Linked DNA regions of Drosophila melanogaster. The protein of the gene in region 4 interacts with the protein of the main gene of each other region in a pairwise test. Each region holds a gene or a part of one and is shown on either strand. Other genes may lie near its edges.

What was found.
Region 1: the proteins of CG11449 (region 4) and Ndc1 interact in a two-hybrid assay, tested with the Drosophila melanogaster proteins (one large-scale study listed by BioGRID).
Region 2: the proteins of CG11449 (region 4) and CG31365 interact in a two-hybrid assay, tested with the Drosophila melanogaster proteins (one large-scale study listed by BioGRID).
Region 3: the proteins of CG11449 (region 4) and prg interact in a two-hybrid assay, tested with the Drosophila melanogaster proteins (one large-scale study listed by BioGRID).

Annotation. Positions count from the first base shown.
Region 1 is NT_033777.3:23,922,824-23,927,066, reverse strand, and holds Ndc1 (nuclear division cycle 1), read right to left. Parts: upstream 2,669-4,243; 5' UTR 2,524-2,668; coding exon 2,126-2,523; intron 2,066-2,125; coding exon 727-2,065; 3' UTR 631-726; downstream 1-630. Other genes in the region: CG13601 (uncharacterized protein), read left to right, coding at 1-65, 125-438; CG31141 (uncharacterized protein), read right to left, coding at 2,869-3,414, 3,474-3,689. UniProt on the Drosophila melanogaster protein: Component of the nuclear pore complex (NPC), which plays a key role in de novo assembly and insertion of NPC in the nuclear envelope.
Region 2 is NT_033777.3:23,123,390-23,128,342, forward strand, and holds CG31365 (uncharacterized protein), read right to left. Parts: upstream 3,034-4,953; 5' UTR 2,954-3,033; coding exon 1,873-2,953; intron 1,807-1,872; coding exon 1,673-1,806; intron 1,613-1,672; coding exon 908-1,612; 3' UTR 573-907; downstream 1-572. Other genes in the region: CenB1A (centaurin beta 1A), read left to right, coding at 54-240; CG31457 (uncharacterized protein), read right to left, coding at 3,319-3,656, 3,716-4,391.
Region 3 is NT_033779.5:8,462,557-8,467,194, reverse strand, and holds prg (piragua), read right to left. Parts: upstream 2,708-4,638; 5' UTR 2,586-2,707; coding exon 2,421-2,585; intron 2,363-2,420; coding exon 851-2,362; 3' UTR 501-850; downstream 1-500. UniProt on the Drosophila melanogaster protein: May be involved in transcriptional regulation. The function of this protein is unclear.
Region 4 is NT_037436.4:22,452,361-22,456,660, reverse strand, and holds CG11449 (uncharacterized protein), read right to left. Parts: upstream 2,289-4,300; coding exon 672-2,288; downstream 1-671.

The DNA.
Region 1 (4,243 bases), on a different chromosome or scaffold from region 4:
GAACTTTCGGCTGGAGCGACAGGATGCCCAGATACGAGAAATGACGCGAGTGCTGGCTGATCTAGGTTCCATTTCCTTTCAACCGAAATCAAGTATCACGTAATCATATACCAACTCCTTACAGATTCGCGAAACATTTTCCGGTGGCACAAGGAGCCGATTCAGGAATACGTGCCCTTCGATCCCGACACGCCGGACCAGAGTGCCAGCGCCAGGAATCCGAAAAAGTTCGACAGCTTATATGACCCGCAAGGCGGTATGGCCTTCCGCGCCCTGCACTTCCTGGACACGCAGATCTTCGTGGACGGACGCAACCGCAAGGCCAAGGAGGCTCTCCAGCACCTGGATGAGGTGGCCGTGCAGCTGGAGCAGTCTCTGGGAGAGGCAGCCACCGTTGCCGTTGCCAGCTCACTGCCTACAAAAGCAGCCGACCTTTGACCAAAGCGGCAGCTAGAGCAGGATCTGGCCCTGCTCATGATGGCAGTGGCGATGGAGGAACAGTAAGGCCGCCCGCTTGTACACATTCAACCTGCAGACCATTTCATCAGTGCTAGTTATGATCAAATCGCGTGTTACCATTTCGTACTTTAAGTATAAAAGTCAATAGTATTCTATAACTATTGGACGTTTGTAGTTATATTTATTAATTTTTATTGTTACCGCAGACAAACAACTAAAGAGATGCAAAACAGTGTACAAGATGAGTGTATAAAGTGATGGATGGGTTTACTCCTGGCAGACGAGGTCCTGCAGCTGGCGCAGTTCCTCTCCAGGGGGTAGCAGATCGTCCAGATAGTCGCAAAACGACAAACAGATGGCGTACAGACTGCGTCGCACTGCGCATCGAAGCACGTTAAAGCTAGAGCTGGATATCCTTATGTTGCCTATCACGCTACTTAGCTTATCTAGCTCATTTCGCAGCTTGTTGATCGCCTTGATGATAGCAGGCAAATCGTTCTGCACTACTCCATATGGATCCTCTTTGAGCGAGGCTGCGCACACCTGAGCCAGAGCCTGAGTCATATACACTACGGGCAGGGAGTTGGCCAGCAGAAACGTCGTCTTGGCACCTTCGGGTTCGTTGAATAAGTACACAATGCCGGGAACGCGCTGTAGCAACCGTTGTAGGGACTGCTCCAACTGCGTGGATACACGCTCACACCAGTTGGGAAAATGACGGATGCCATCCGCTGGACTTTCAACAGCAACCTCGCGACTGGGCGATACAATGGGTCGAATGCCGTGTTTCTGGTTGTATTGCCGCAGCAACACCTTCTCGGCCATCAAGCTAGTTGTAAGCGATTCGGTTATCTTCGGCATCGGCAGACTCTGGGCGCACTTGAGTATACTTATCTTCTGCATCGACTCGGTTAGTTCTTCGGTAAAGCTGCCGAGAATGCTCAAGCATTGGTCGCAGAGGGAGCGCCAACTTGCTGGCCGGTTACCCGGCTCAGTCAGCTGGAATATCTCTGCCCGTTGTGGCGAGTTCTTTCGCAACGCCAGCTTGTAGAAATGATGAGCAGCAAGGCACTGCACTACATACACATTGAAAACTCCGAGACCCGCTACCAAGGTTATATCCTGTTCATGGGCAAAAGCAGCTCGCGGTTTAGTCACCACCAGTGGCAAATCCTCCGAGAGCAGAATGCCGTAAAAGCAACGCATTAGGTGCATGTTGCTCAAAATCTGTGCGGTCAGCAAATAGCCGTAAAAAAGCAGGCGCACATTGGTAACAACTCCGAAGAATCCATCCAGTCGCTCGTCCATGTCCACAGAGAGAATGTGACTAAGTCTGTGGCATACCATGGGTCCGAAAAGACAAAATACGGCGGTGTAACTGATCGTAGGCAGCAGCGAACTTAATAGAGATTTGGCCAAACTGGCGTAGAGCAGCTCTCGCATCTTCTCCGCCCGCGATTGCTCCACAATGGGAAATTCAATGGAGATCTCCTTGCGCATGTGAACGGAGACAAAGTAGTAGCAGCCGGCGGTCATACCGATGCCTAATAGATAGACATTGTAAGCACTAATGCAATCCTGGCCATAGCACTTATATTTCAGGTGTCTGGAAATAAAAGGAATCATAGGTATTGACCGAATTCAAACCAACTGTAGGTATACTTACTGATAGTCTGTGTGCAGATAGCCCGTGTAGAGCCAGGCGGTCAGCAGACCGACCAGAAGGTGGGCGAACAGAAAGAGCACCTTGCGTGGACCGTAGTGCAGGAGCCACCGGTAGCGGGTTGGGCAGTAGCGTCGCTCCGACAAGTGCTGCTGGCAAAGAATCACACCGTAGAGCACGACGGAGGCCACCAGAGGGATGCTGGCAAACCAGGTGTACCAACTGGCTACCAGACGCAGTGTTCCCGTCACCCAGGCGAGCGGATGCAACAGTTGGAAGTTCACAAACAGCAGGAACACTGTGAGCAGCAGGAATTGGATGGCCACGCTGAGGAGCACGGCGCGCAGGCAGCGGCCGAGCAGCAAGAGCTTGCAAGCGTTGCTGGAGGAGCTAGCAGACATGTTTGCGCTCCGAACTGCTAGACCATCGAGGTATCACCAATAATTTGATTTAATTCTATAGTTTTCTAATTGATTTCGCGACTAATTGCAAATATTCGACGGTTGCCGACAACGCGCGCGTTGTTGCACTTTTAAGTGTGACCGCATGCGGAAAGTGGAGCTGCCCGTAATCGATAACTCATTTGATGTTCGTAGTGAGAAACCCTAATGGAAAACGGTTTTTTGAAATTTATCTTTTTAATTACAAAGCACAATTTTGTAAATCTAGAAAGTTCACCATTAAAATGGCTCATAAAAACGTATGACTAAATTAGTATATCTTCAATTTTCGACCTAATTTAAGTTTTAGTTCTCCTTATGCTTCGGTCTCAGGTAGCACTGGAAATAAAAGTTGGCGAACATGATAAACATGATGGTCGCGGAGCAGCTGACCAGAAAGAGGGTTCCCTGCGATGCAGTGCACTGCCGCTGCATGGCGGTTAAGGCGCAATGGCCAAACATGAGGAGGAACTGCAGCATTTGCATGAGGGTCAAGTACCGCTTCCAACGCACCGTATTGCCCTTGATGGCCGAATAGTAATAGGCATACATGAAGATATGAACGAATACATTGAAGGAGCACAGGAAGAAGAGTTGACCTCCGTAGCCATAGAATCGTATTATCAAGTATCCGGCGGATGGCATCAGGACGTGGTGGAAAACGTGCAAAAACGTTATTTGCGAGTACTTCTTGCGCAGCACGCAGAACACGGTGTCAAGCAGGTCAACGATCTTGTTTATGTAGTAAGCATAGCTGATGCAGCGCTCCCAGTTCTTCAGCGGATGATCCTGCTGCAGGACAGTCATGCAGCGAAAGTTGTACGGTTGGAATACCAACATGAAGTAGTATCCCTACGGAAGAAGCTTTTATCAATTGAAGAAAAGAATGTAGGCTCAAAATTTCAACTCACGGGCAGGAGCATCATTATATTGTAGAATATCTGGAACATGTTATAGTACTTAAGCACTTTTCGCAGATTATAAGGTTCTCGATGCTCCATGAACTTCCTGCCGGCCTTAAAAACTACCAGAAGGTATCCAATGAGGATAATTATGATGGGACCGGGTCCAGTTGCCAACGGCAGCTGTTTGGAGTCCGCATAGGGCGTCCTAAATATTTCCAACATTTCTGTTACCTAATTATTGTGTACTTTTCAATTTGACAAATAAAACAACTGATGAACCGCCTTGCTGTCACGTGTTTTCTAATGAAAGCCTAAAAATATTGTATGCTTACTTCTTAATTGAGTAATTTCCCTAGGCAAGTTAGATTGATTTGTGTGCAATACCAAATTAAATAAACTTAAATAAATTTAATTGCCACTGTTATTTGGAAACAGCCTTGCCATACCGTTGGCTGATCGATAAGTCCGATATCGATTCTAGAATCGATGATATAATCTGGCATCACCGAACTATCGATTGCTCAGGTCGTAGCTTTGGCATTTTACAGACGTCCGCCTTCGGTCACATCACATTTTGTTGTTGTCGCGGTCGGAAAAGTGCACGGAGTTACGGTCGTCGATTCGTCGATTTTCCGTTAAATACAGCATACAAATTCCAAAACAAATGTGCGCACTCGCCGCCGCCGCAAACGCAGCGCAATAAGGTGTGTAATGTGTCCAATTGGCCGCAAATGAAAGTGAATAAAAGTCATAAAATTCGTGAAGTTGAAATAAAA
Region 2 (4,953 bases), on a different chromosome or scaffold from region 4:
GAGTAAGAAAGCAGAGCTTCAATCCGGCAGATACATAACCATTCTTGTTTCAGACTCCGATTGACACAACTGAATGACGAGATTGGACCCAACGACGAGTACAATGGCGAAGATGAGACGTACAAGAACGTAATGAAGGACTTCTCCAAGTTACCAGCCAGCCAGACGCGAGTTCTGCGCCAGCGGCACGACTCAAATACACTCGAATCGCAGCGCAGCTCGCTTACAAACTCCGACTAGCAGTGGCAGAAGGGCCGCAAGAGTTAGGACCTTACTGGATATTATGGAATAATTTGTTCCAATTATTAGGATAGCGTGATATTGGATTGTTATTGGCTTTATAACGCATTAACCAGGAATGTTAAACGGTTTCGACCTCTAAGGATGTCGTTGCGGGCTTGTTTCCCTTGGTAATCTCATTTGAAAAGCGCTTCCGATTATACAAGAAAATATTATTCATTGCATTTGGCATTCGAATGGCAGGCACGATCGTTCGTTTTCTCTTAGGCGCATTTTGAATCCGTTTTTGGCGATTAGCTTAAGTTTAAAGTATTCGTAGAGCAGTTGAGTTTATTAAAAATACGTATATTTGCCTATAAAATTGTACATCGTCTTATGTGGTATTTATTAAACGATATTGTAAAATGTACGTCTAGCTATATGTATCTTGTTACAGAGCTGTTCCAAATGTTCCGATTTGTATTTGTTTGCTAAACTGTTTAATGCTGCATGTTTCTAAATGTTTTAACGCTATCATGTTGATGATTTTTGGTGCCAACTGTTGTGAGCACTCTAGGTTCGCGAATAAAGTTGTAAAATATTCAGATCAATCAAAGTTGGTCTCTTCAGGTGTAAAACATGGTGGTCCAATCTGCGGTGTATTGGTAAAACATGTCCAGGGACTATTCTAGGCCACAGCTTGAAACTCGTTCGTCTCGGATATGTAGTCTGTGAGCTTGTTCTTCACCTTGTGCATTGTGGTTACATGTCTCTGGACCGCACTGCGATCGTTAAACTGACGGCCGCACTGTTTGCAGGAGAACATGACGCCAGCGTGGGTGACCAGATGGCGACTGAGGCCCGAAACATGATTGAAGCTACGATGACACAGATGACACTTGTGCGTCCGAGAGTTGCCCATATGCACGCGGCCAATGTGCTGCTGCAGGTTGGACTTCTGGGCAAAGCAGCTCGAGCATTGGGGGCACTGATGGCGCTTTACTCCCGTATGGGTGTCCATGTGACGCTTGAGCACTTCGCGCTGGGAGAAGGACAGTTCGCACTCGCTGCACTTGAAGGGTTTCAGGCCCGTGTGGATAATCATGTGGCGTTTGAGCGAGCTGGCGCACGACAGTTGCAGTGCGCAGCTGGGACACTTGAGCGTGCCGCCCTTTCCACTTTTCAGTCCCTTAATGTGGGTGTTGTGGTGGCGCGTCAGAAGTTTCTGCGTAGGAAATGCCACCGGGCACAAATGGCACTGGAACGACTTCACCGTGTCCGTAATTCGACCGGTTTTTGGTTGAGGACAACTGGACTCCTGCTTGAACACCAACTCACTCGATCTCTTTCGTTTGAGGGGCGTCTGCTCATCTCTATCGTTCTGTTCTTTTTCCTACAGATAATAAGATCCAAGTTGAATTCGAGTTCAATTTAAAATCACACGGTTAGTTACCACTATAATGACATTTTCATGGAAGCTGAAGACCTGTTGCTCCTGAGATATCTCCTCGCCCAGATTAAACACGACCACGTCTTCGATTTCCTCTGGCTTTTCGCCACTGAACTGAATTTCGCCGTCTTCTTTGACTAAGCAAAGAATTTAATGAAATGAAAATTTTTTCACATTTTTTTTGCCAAATTATACCCACTTACTGTTATAGGAGGTGATTCCGTTGTCCTGGTCAAATTCGGGAGTGGAGTCCTGGTTTTGATCCTCTGAGCTGGCAGAGTTTATGATGTAAATCTCTCCATTGTCTGTGTGCACTACATCTGATCCAACCATGTTGATTTCCCTGAAGTCTTCACCGCTTTCCGCGGGCACTTCCTCGTCCAGTTCGAGGCCATCTATGTTTACATCGCTATTATTTGCGGGGTCGGTATTGCAGCCCAATATGAATTCCTCTTCTTTTGCATCCTTCCTGGCCTCTGTCGCCTTTAGATTGGCGTCGACCAAGCTGGGTCGTCGCTTTGGAAGAGCTTTAGTTTTTGACCTAGAAGGGGAGGCATCTTCCTTGACTTGCGGCTTGGTCTCTGGTTCGGACCCATCCAAAGACTCCCACCGACCGGCCTTTTTCTCGGTAAGATACACCTCCAATTCGCCCAACAGCATGGCCAGCTGCTCTTTTCTTATGTCCTCGCTCACCTCGTTTCGCAGGTCATCTCTAACCTGGCTGCGCACCTCCTCGGCCAGCTCCTTGCGAACCTCACTGCGCACCTCCTCCGCTAGTTCCTTGCGCAGTTCGGTGGTCAGTTTCGCTCGAAGTTCTAGACGAGATTTGACCAGCCGTTTGTGCATTTCCGCCGCCTGTTCTTCCTTAAAATCTTCTCGCCACTTTTCGTCCTCAAGCTTGCGCACTTTGTCCTGCACCTCGATGAAGGCAATAGAGTCCTCGAACTCCAGCTCGTCCTCGTCATAATCGTCCGGATCCTTGGAGAAGACGCGGCTTCGCTTCCCGAGACCCAGAAGTCGGATATGCTTGCGAAGCTTCTTCTCCGCCCATTGGCAGCGCTGCCGGAACAGGAATGACTTCTCCAGCTGATAGCGGCACTCCTGGCAGATCCTCTTCGGCAGAGTATCCGTCGCCTTGGCGTCCAGTGCGACGCAGGCCATCAGGCGCACGGGTATCGAGAGCTGGGTGTCGTCCTCGTCGAAGATCGCGTACGCATCCTGGTGCTCCTTGAGGCAAAGGCGGCACAGGGTCGCCAAATCGGGATACGACGGCTGTGCATCCATGAAGGCGTCTATTTTTGGTAAATCAACGTATTTACTCGGTGGCGTCTCTGCATCGCAAGCAATGTGACCGCAGACAGGTTCGCTAAAAATACCTCCTCTCGAAACGAAAGCAATACAGTCACACTGTTCGTAAATAAACAATTTGATATATACGGCCCATAAACGTATCATAACTTAATTTATTAATGTAAGGTTTAAAGGTATTGATTTTCATACAAATCCAATGCATACCGAATGTGCATATTTAAAGTTTAATAGAATACAATGACAATTAAAATAGGTGATGGCTTAGTCAAATATGCGTGCACAAAAAAAGGTACTATTCTTATAATATAGAGGATTAAACTAAATTCGTTGTTACGTGGCTACGTCACGGTGTTATTTAGCTTATCCGCTCCTCTTAGACGACAGCGCACACAACTTTTGAAATCGGCGTACGAACTGCTGCATTTTGTCTTGAAGGAACTGTGCTTTCGGCACAGGTTATCGGTCGTCTGCTTGGGGCTCATAAAGCGCACTTTCTTTCGACACGGCGATGGGGTTTTTACATCCTCTAAGGCAGTTGTGTTGGCACCCAGAAAGGTGTCCTTGCTATAGTCGTTGCGCAGATGACTCAGCTGCGGGTCGTTCATGTTGATCTCAACCATGGGCACAGCAACTAGTGGCGTTGCAGCTGGCTGTCTGCTGGCTTCTGGTTCATCGTCTATTACATTTGAGAAATATATAAGTCGTGCAATTGCAAAGTAAGTGGGCTGGTCTTACCCAGTAACTCCACCACGCTGTTATCGCTCTGCTCCCTTAGCTCCTGGCCCATGTCTGTTTCGTAGAAGCCAGCGGTCTGTTCGTCAGGCAGCGGACTGCTTAAGTTCATCTTCATCTCATAGGTCGCCTCATTGCGCTTGCGCACAAAGTACCGTTCCAGTTCGACAAACACGTCGTCCAGAACGCTCAGTCGCAACTGCTGCTTGGCTTCGGGTATGATGACCTCTTCGAGTTCCGCCCGCAGCTCCAGCTCGATTTCCGCCCGCACAGCTTGCTTGCAAGTGCTGAGCAGCTCCTTTTTATACGCGTCGATCTCGCTGCTAATGAGCTGGGCGGCCTGCTGGCGCCACTGGGCATTGTTCTCGGCGCAGCCAGTTTGCGTGCATCCTTCCCCGGAGCCCCGCTCCTCCTCCACTTCACTCAGCTGCGACTTGACACCCTGCCGCTGCAACGCCTTGTGGCGCCTCAATTTGCGATCGGCTGCGAGGCAGCGTCGTCGGAAGCAGTGCATCTCCTCCAGTTGCAGCCGACACATGGTGCATATGTGCTGTGGCAGACCGTCGCCGGGCTCGATCTCCAGCGATGTGCAGACCATTATCTGCAGAGCAGTCGATCCATTTGCACCGAAAACGGGGAAATTGGGTTCCTTCGACAAGCACAGGCGACAAACATTCATGTTGAATTTCAAGGCAATTCGGAGCGTGGCAGCCGGACACCTGATTAGGCACGATTCGGAATGATGGACAATCTAGCAATCTTTCCAAGCAACCAGTTTAGAATATGAAACAAAAAAACATTTGAAGACAAATAACTAAAATTGGAAGCGGAGGAATTTCCTACTAGGAAACATCAACAAGTCTAGCCGATTTGTTATCGATATTTTCAGTGTGGCCATGCGGTTGAGAGAATGCATTTTAGTATTTCAAGGCTGGCTGCTCTGCCATTGATGTGCCCGTATTTCAGCAAGGCGCTTGGCGGGAGAATTTCAAATAGTCAAAATTTTACAACGATACTATAGCGCTCATTTGAATAACCTGAAATGCAGCAATAACACACATTCATTTATCAAACAATTTCTTTATATTTCATTAAATATTAAGTATAAATACGCAGTTAACTATTAAGTATTATATACACAATTACAATAAGATATTCAGTCACTATAATGCTTCTTCTATATACAAAGTACGATATATATTATATCAAAGGGCTTGAACTCGCCGCCGCACCTCAATAAA
Region 3 (4,638 bases), on a different chromosome or scaffold from region 4:
CATACACATAAATCGCCTGCGAAGTGACCCTTGGCAATGGCGAAGGTAATTGCGTACTTACCGCTCTCAGCGGAACCTGAACCTAACCAAAACCAAGCGAACCGTAAGGTGGATTCGTATTCCCTCGATTGCGTGCCCGTTTCGGGAATAGATTTATCGTCTCGTTTGAAATCCGCACTTTATTTATGGTAGCTTGGCCACATTTCTTTGCGGATCTCCCACTCCAATACTTATTATTTATTATTCTATCAAACGTTACGTTACACTGTCAGCACCAGCACAATTCACTACGCGCACTTCGAGGCGATTACGAGATTTCGAGGCGATCAAGATCCGAGAGCGCTGGTCGAGAGGCACTACCGTACGGGGCGAACTCAAGAAAGAATCTGCAGCGGTGCAGTTGCTCTGAAGATTTCGGAGAAGACCTTCTTCGTATCGGACAACGTGCAACTTGTTGCACGCAACATGTTGGTCTGAGACGACTGCTAATACAAAATGTTCAAATACCTTACTTGATATTTTATTTATATATTAAGTAAACCTACTTTAAATAGGTTTAACATAACTTAACTTTAAGAAGTTTTTTATAGAGCAGAAAACTTTCTTTAATATCTTATGAAAAATAATATCTTCACAAAGTCATACGATCTCGAAGAAAACCGTTTCAGATTTGGCCTTTTATTAAAAACCACTAAGCTACATTTTGGCAGACAATAGTCAGATGACTTAAACTATACAGATTCATTAACACCAATGGATTCTATGTTGACCTGAACGACTAAAACAGCCTTGACCTACAAAACTTTTCCGACCTATCAACTAAGCTTATTAAACATGTAAATATGTTGTTCTATTCCTCGGGACGAGTCTCGCTGTAGAAGCCCAGATTCATTGTGGGAATCATGTTGCTGTAGAACGACAGTTCCGCTGCCGAGGGACGCACTAGCTGGGGATCCTGAACTAGCGGAGCCGTCATAGCCACTGGAGCCTTTTCGGCCATTTTTAGGGGTAAAATAGCAGCCTCTTGAGCCCGCTGGGCCATCTTGTGCTGCAACTGATGGACTTTGAGGTGATTCTCCAGCTCAATTTGATGCAGGAAGCTAATGCAACAGATTCCGCACGTAAAGCTGGGACCATGAGCCTCTAGCTCATGGCGCTGCAGTTGCTCGCGTCGGTTGAAACCTTGATTACATGTCTTGCAGGCGAACAGCGAGTCCATGTGAAGAGCTTGATGGCGTTGCAGGTCCCTCTCCCGTTGGAAAGTTCGATCGCAGACATCACAGTGGTAATAGCGTGAGTTTTTGGTTTGTGCGGCAGCCTTTTGTTTAGCCTGCAACGCCTGCTGCTGCAGATCACCCTCCATCGGGGGAATTAGACCCATTTGCTGCTGCTGCTCCATGTCCCGCCTGGTATGGACTTGCTGGTGGGCTATTAGCTTATCCCTGCGCGAAAACGAGTAGGGACAGCGTCCACATTGGAAAGCCTTTACCTCTCCGTGCGAACGTGTGTGGCGCATCATTTCCACAGCCGTCTGGAAGGATCGCGGACACTGCTGGCAAACAAAGGGCTTGACACCGCTATGAATGCGCATGTGCTTGGTCAGATTTGTATTCCGCGAGAAACTCTTGGAGCAAACGTTGCATGTGAAGGGCCTCACGCCAGTGTGCACGATTGTGTGCTTTTTAAGATCGGAGCGGCGCACAAAACCCTTCCGACAGTGAGCACACACATACGGACGGTCCGGATCATGCAGTGTCTTTATGTGCGAAATCAAAGCAGGCCGGGTAACCAGCTTGATGTTGCAAAAGTTGCAGCAGTACGGTGCGTTGGGATCGTGTGCAGCCAGCTCGTGCTCTTGACACTCGGCGGGCAGAGTGAACCCAAGATCACAGTATTGACAGAGGAACGCTCGTTTTGGCCGTGCCTCCGTGGTGTTGGCGTTGTTGGCAACGGACTGTTGAGCCGCCATCTGGGCCGCATCCATGCCCAGTGGCATGTCGACGTCTTCGCCGTTCTGGCCATCTTCCTCGTCCTCCTCATCGTAGTCTTCCTCCTCCTCCTCATCATCGTCGTCATAGTTTTCGTACTCCCCATCGGAGCCGAGTGCGAATTCCTCTTCACTGCTCTCTGCCAGATTCTCTGGATCAACTTCCACAATAATGCAGCCCTCCTCGGGTACGAATACTCCGGGGTTGCCATTCAGGCCTGGACGGTGCTTCGGATGATCTTTAATCATCTCCTTCAGCTGCTCCTGCAGGGACTGTTCCCGCTCCTGCATTCCTTTTCGCAGCTCGAATGCCTCTTCGAGGATCTCCAGACACCTTGAGCAAATGAGCTCCGACAAACATTCGTTGCGATCGTACTGTAGGTGGAGAAGTTATTCATGCACTTTTTCCATGGATTATAAATGGCCCACTCACCTGAACGCTCCAGAGACTCTTGGAAACCTCTGCAATGGACACATCCTTGCAAAACTGCACGGTGTCATCGAAAATGTTTAGCGAGTTGGGATCCGTATTATGGTGGCACAGGCGACAAGTGCTCACATCCTGATCCTGGGTCATGCTGATATCCGATGTATGCATTCTTCAATCATATGCATTTAAGCCGGGATTGCAATAAATTATCCAATTGTTTAAGCAAACAAAAGCCACACCGGTAGCAAATAAAACGCGTTGGTCAATGGCCAATCTACCACGATAGTATCGATATGTCGCGAAATTAAACAACATGGTCCAATCGATTGTCGGAGGAAATCGATAAGCCGCTGCACAGTGGGTTACTTAATTGAATTATAGGAATTTTTGAATATTTGAAGTTTTTAAATTAAACAATTTTGTGTTTTATTAAAGTTCAGATTTGTACCTTTCCATTTTAAAATACTTTTACTAAAATTGTAACAAAGCCATATCTAATACGCAAAATAAACGTCAGCATCTTTGGTAGCAAAAACGAAACTACTTATGTGTAATTCTTTGGGGTTGAAGTTTGATGATGCTCAAATTCAATAAAACGCAGTTTCTTTCTACACATTAAAAATTTGTAAAGCTGTTTGCATAAAATATAAATTATAAGACTTATAAGGCTCGTGTCACACTTTTAAATCAGAAATGCACTTACGATTAAAGCAGTGGGCGGCAGGTACCTAATTGATGCGTACCTATGTAGGTACACGCCGTGAACACGCGAAGCGAGAGCTTTTTCAATTGCCCGCGGACTCTTGATTAAAGCGGAGGTATTTTTCGAGTGCCGGCACTCTTTCGGCGAAAGCGGATGATTGTTTAAAAATCTGTGCGTACGCGCGTATATTCCTTTAACTAATCGGGATTGATTGCTTGCGCGGTTATTGCTTAATTGCAGTGAGATTTTTGGTTCTATTGAAAGTGGCTAATGTTCGTTTAGTGGAATTTATTGCACTGCAGATGCTGCAAATTATACTAGAACACACACACACACATCGGCAAAACAACTGTTACGCCTACGCAGCAGCGGCAACAACAACAACAACAACAGCAGCAAGGGAATTAGCAGCAACAATTTTCCACCCATAGAGGGAAATAACTGTTCCGTGAGTTTATACAATTTGGGCTGTATTTGTTGTTTTCCACCCACGTACTTTTTGTCTTTATTATGCTCCTGCCGCTTCTCCTTCTTTCGCTCCTTTTCCCTACCCACCTCCCCTCTTCCACTTCTTTTCTCTCCCATGCGGTTAGTGTGTTATTCCCGTCCTTAAGGAATAAAAGCAACAGCAACCCCGTGTACATTTATTGTTCTCTCCCCCGATGCACGGAGAGAAATTTGATTTTGATGTGTAATCAGGTTCAATTTTATTATTTAGATTATATGCATAAAATGATGAACTGATTGGACCACATTGCTAAAGGAAACACAGGGTTTTTTTTTTACAATTTTGAATCAACTACTCCAAAAACATAAACACCGTATGAATGATGATCGCAAATTTCAATGGAATAGTTTTTTTTTTCTGTGTACCTATCATCCTGTTAACCCAAGCTTTGCCCTCGCACCCTGTAGTTCTCATGAGTGTTAAATTTTCTGCCACCAAGTCCCTGTTAATTTTTGGTTATTGGGATTCCTCACTTTTCACAGTTGCCGTTGCGCGTATGAAAATGAATTTGTGCATTTATAATTCATAAATAGGACTATAAAAAAGAGAATTTATAATTTCATGAATTTACCGAAATTGGGGTCTTTAAAATGCGTCTATTAGCCTATTTAGGTAGTGATTTGTAGTGAGTTAGTAGTGAGTAGAACGAAAGCACTCTAGCGTATGCACTATCTGCCCTAAAAAGTTTGAACATAAAGATAAAATATAATTGCTTAAGTGAAATAAGCGCAAAGATTGCATTCGAGCTTAATGGTCTGATTAAAGTCCCTAGAAGCAAATCTATATGATATCACCACACCGAATTAGTAAATATCCTTACCCTACGAGACTTCTGCTAACTTAATATTTACACTTGCATACAATTACCCCTAAACATAGGGAACATGCCATTTGCCGGCCACATGAGAGTGACTTCCAATTTTGTGTACAATGAAAAACAACTGAAGATTGCTGTCCTAAACATTCCACTCGGCAATTAAGTGCTCGGCAATGATCATTCGATGAGGAAA
Region 4 (4,300 bases):
CAAGAGTTCGTCGTTGCCGTTGTCGCTAGCGGTGGCATCTCCACTCAAGCTGGAGCTCCAGCTCTATCTTCATCTTCGTCGTCGTCTTTCCATTGTTTGCTTGTGTACGCTCAGCGTATGTGTGTGGCATAATAAAATTTTATTGTAGCCAAAAGTTGGCTACCACTTTTTCCATGGCACCCGGGCAGTAGTTTTCCCCACCCCATTCCCGCTCACCCGTAATTGTGTGTACCCACCCGCGGAGAAAGTGGGTTCCTGTGGGGGGAGGTGGCCTAAACGCCCACATAGTTGGAAATTAGCGAGATGTGTGGGCGGACTCTTCTACCGCACGCGCAACAATGTCGCTTAGTCATCATGGCGGTTCTTTGATTTCGATTCGCCAGTTACTTTTGGCTGGCAATTTAATGGCATACTTTTGGGCAGGGAAATGGCATCGAAGTTCGAACTTCGAACTTCTTAGATCTGTATAGTAAATAAGCTACCTACATGCCCAGCCATGAAACGAGTTCCTCACTCACATATGACACCACGCTTTTACTTTCAAGTGCACTTTATTTTGAAGCCTTGCAGTACTAGAACTAATAGCCTACTCTAAGGCCCCACATGGACCCACCTAGCGGCATTCCAAGAGCGCCCGACACTAGGCAACGACCTGTGAGATTAGGCTATCCTCAGCGGATCCGGTTGCGGGAACTTTGGATGTTCTTCAGCTGCTTTTCCACTTCCCGCAAGTACTTCTCCGGTAGGCAATTGTCGCGCATAGCCGCGATCTTGGCGTTAATCACCTGCTGGATGTTAACGTCCCGCTGCTTCTCATGGTCGAGCCACTTCTGCACCCTTCCGGCTTCCAGCTCGGCCAGACGGCGACGCTCCGCCTGTTTGTCTGTCATCTGTTGGCGCAAGTCCTGGCGGTAAGCCTGCCGCTGAGCGTCCCGCTGACGATCCATGACCTTCTGCTTCTCCTCCTCCTCGCGCATGCGATCCATGACCTTGGCGAACTCCTCCCCGGCGTGGGCGATCTCCAGAGCAAGGCGCTGCTTCATCTCCTGGGCCTGCTGCGCCCGTGCCTCGAGCAGGTCCCGCTCTGCCTCCCGCCGCGCTATGGCTGCTTCCTTCTCCCGCTGGCGATACTCGCGCTCCACGCGGTCTCGCTCCTTTAGATACTTCAGCTCGTCGTTGGTCTGGCGCGTCTCCATGGCTTCGGCAGCTACCGTAAAGATGCGCTGCTGGCGGCGCTCGAACTCCTTTTTGGCCAGTCGTTTCATTTCCTTAAGCTGGCGCTCCTTCTCCTGCTTATCGCGCATGTAGGCGGTTACCCGCAGGTCAGCCAATCGCTCCTGTTCGCTGAACATCGTCTTGAAGACGTTGGACATGTCCCGGATGCGCTGGAGCTCCTCCCGGAGCCTTTGCTTGCGCAGTTGGGCAAAGGCCCGCTGCTGCTCCTCCTGGCTGCGCAGGAGCTCGGTGGCGCGACGAATATCCTTGGCCTCGTCGGCCACCCGCTTGGCTTCCAAGTAGCGCACGTTCTCGCGCTCTGAGAGCTGCTGCCGGATCTCCTGGGCATAGCGGTTCCGCTTCTCCACCTCCAGTCGCTCGCGCTCATCCTCTTCGGTCAGCGCTTTCTGGGCCCGTTCGTTGACCATACGTGCCAGTCGCTCATCGTCCTCGCGCAGCGCCTTGGATAAGAGGTGCTTCTCATGGATCTGCGCTTCCCGCACAGCTTTGCATTTTGCGTCGAGAATCATGCGGTTGATCTGCTTCACCTCCTGTTCCTGCTCTTGACGGGCAAGAAAGGCGCGACTTAACACGGACTCCTTTTCCTCGAGGATCTCGCTGAGCAGGGTGCTTCTGCTTTCGGAAGCGCCAACCCCCTTGGCTTCATCGATGGCCTTGAATCGTTGTCGCGTCTCCTCAACCATTTGCAGCTGCTTGCGGTGCTCCTCTTCGTGCTGCTCAATCCTCTGCAGCTTCTCGCTCACGGTTTCTAGTTTTCCCTGATCCTTGAGACGGCGAAGCTCCCCGGCTCGGAGCACCACTTGTTTTGTGCCCTGATTGCGTTTTCGATCGCGTTCATTGCGCTTTAGTTGCTTCTGGTCATAGGCCGCCGACTGGTCACAAAGTGGTCTCCTGAAGGACCCGAAAGATGTGGCGGTTGGGTGGAAGCCACAAGCAGGCGGGCGATAGGCTGCCGTTTGGGCTCGTGCCCTGGCTCTTAGCTCATTGCACTTTTTCTGCACCTGAGATTCTGCACTGACGAATCGCACATTGGAGGCGGAAAAGCAGGGCATCCTTTTTAAAGTAAGCTTGTTAATAAGGCCTAAAAAACCGGGACTGGGAAGTATATCCTGGAGCAGAATTTGAGCTTCATTGAGTGATACCAAGATTGGAAACTTTATTCGATTCGCGTTGCTGGGACAATTTGTTTGGGTAGCAAGCGGTGGTAACCTTGGAGGCCACCAAGTAACCATGCAACAACCTATAACGTGCGAAACTATCCAAAAAACACATTGTTGGCTCTGTAGGTAGAGTTCAGTGCCAAAATACAGATAGCTGTGTGTAGGCATCCGTCTGCTCAGAATTGAAATACGCTTTTGCCGGAAGCTTTTCTCTTGATTTGTTCTGACGGTTACAGCGCACCCAACCACTCTTATCTTCCCTGCCCACTGGGCGAGCATTTAAACAGTCCCCATCCTCGTCCTCGTGCTAGGACCCGGACATCAAAAATGCAACCAAGCATAAATTTCGGGGCTCTGCGGCGGCCCCCATTGATTTATGCGCCTTGTCCAAGGACAAACATGCTTAGTCCCACCCAAATCGGTCCCTTCCTGACCAGTCCGGTACAACCCAGTCCATCCCGCTTCAATGATGTGTGCGAATGTGTGAAAGAAGTCAGCAATTATGCGACATAGAAAAGCAATAAGCCAACAAAATTCACACATTTTGGTCGGAACCCAGAACTGGACATTTGAGATACTGGGGGAACTCTCCGGCCCGCACCCAACTGTCCAAATCTCCGTGGCGGCAGCATCCATCCATTCATCCATCTATCCTCACCGCCCACTGGCCAGTGCGTTGGAAAGTCTAAGCTGGCAAAACTTTACGGCCACACATACAAATTAACTTGACCAAAGCAACAGACAGAGCCGAGAACCACGCCCACATTGTCAAACACACACACCCGGACATTAGGAGTAGGGGACGTGGAAAGAGGATGGCTGAGGGAACGTGGAGGACTAGGGCTAGTTTCTGGGAGCATTGAAATTCGAAACCGAAACGAGTTCCACCCATTTCAGCTGACTTTAATAAAAAGTTTTCTTTTTCCCCGTTGCACACACAAAAACTTTCTCCTATATGGAATGCCTTCGCATTTCCCTTGGCCACCGCCTCCATCTGGGCCTTCTAGTTGGATGCATTGAGGCGTTAAAGTCAACTTAAGCTGGCTGGGGCCGTATTGCCTCTCTGGGGAAAATGCGTTACCAACCAGTCCGCAAATGTAAATTGACATTTTCGAGTGCACGATTGAGCAAATGAACGTTTTTTTCCCCCACCCCGACTCCAGTGTCCTGGGTAATGGCAGTCAAGTCGTTGGATTAGCACCGTGAGTCTCCCAAGGAGACGGATCGGGGAGCCCGAGATGTGGCCATGGAGAGGTCATGCATGGGCTGCTTGATTATATGCAAAAGCATTATTAGCCGGGCCACGAAGCGAGTGGAGAAAGGACAGCTGGAGGACATCATTAGCATTCCTAAGTCCGAGCTCAGGCTATAATTTATGCGCTTAAGTTGTGTTCCGGTTAAGTTTAGTCCGCCCTTCCAGCACGCCTCCTTCGTTAATTAAACCTGATGTAAGTCGGGATGTGGCCAGGGATTAGGTATTAGATTATGTATTAGAGAGCTGTAGCCTCTCTTTTTCTCTCCTATTCTCTATTTCTCTCTCCAATATTCTTTTATCTCTGTCCTTGCAGGTGAGTCTCGGCATGCGGTCCCAGAATGTAACTTATAAGTATTATGAAGGGTAAGCAGGCCTCGGTTCTTTGATGCCACCCAAAATGCAGGAAAGACAAATGTTGCTTCTTGGGAAAATCTGGCAAAATCGTCTCGCATCCGGACGGAGACGGAAACTGAAATTGACAGCGCTCAGACTTGAGCACAAAACTTTCCCTGCTCCAACATGCACTTTCCAGCGTCATGTTGGCGCAGACATGTCGAGGAGGATGGAGGTGGGCTGGAGAAGAACCCAAAGGCCCCATTACAAAGGCTTGAGGCCTTCAAATGCCTTTTGGCATATGATTCATTTGTGG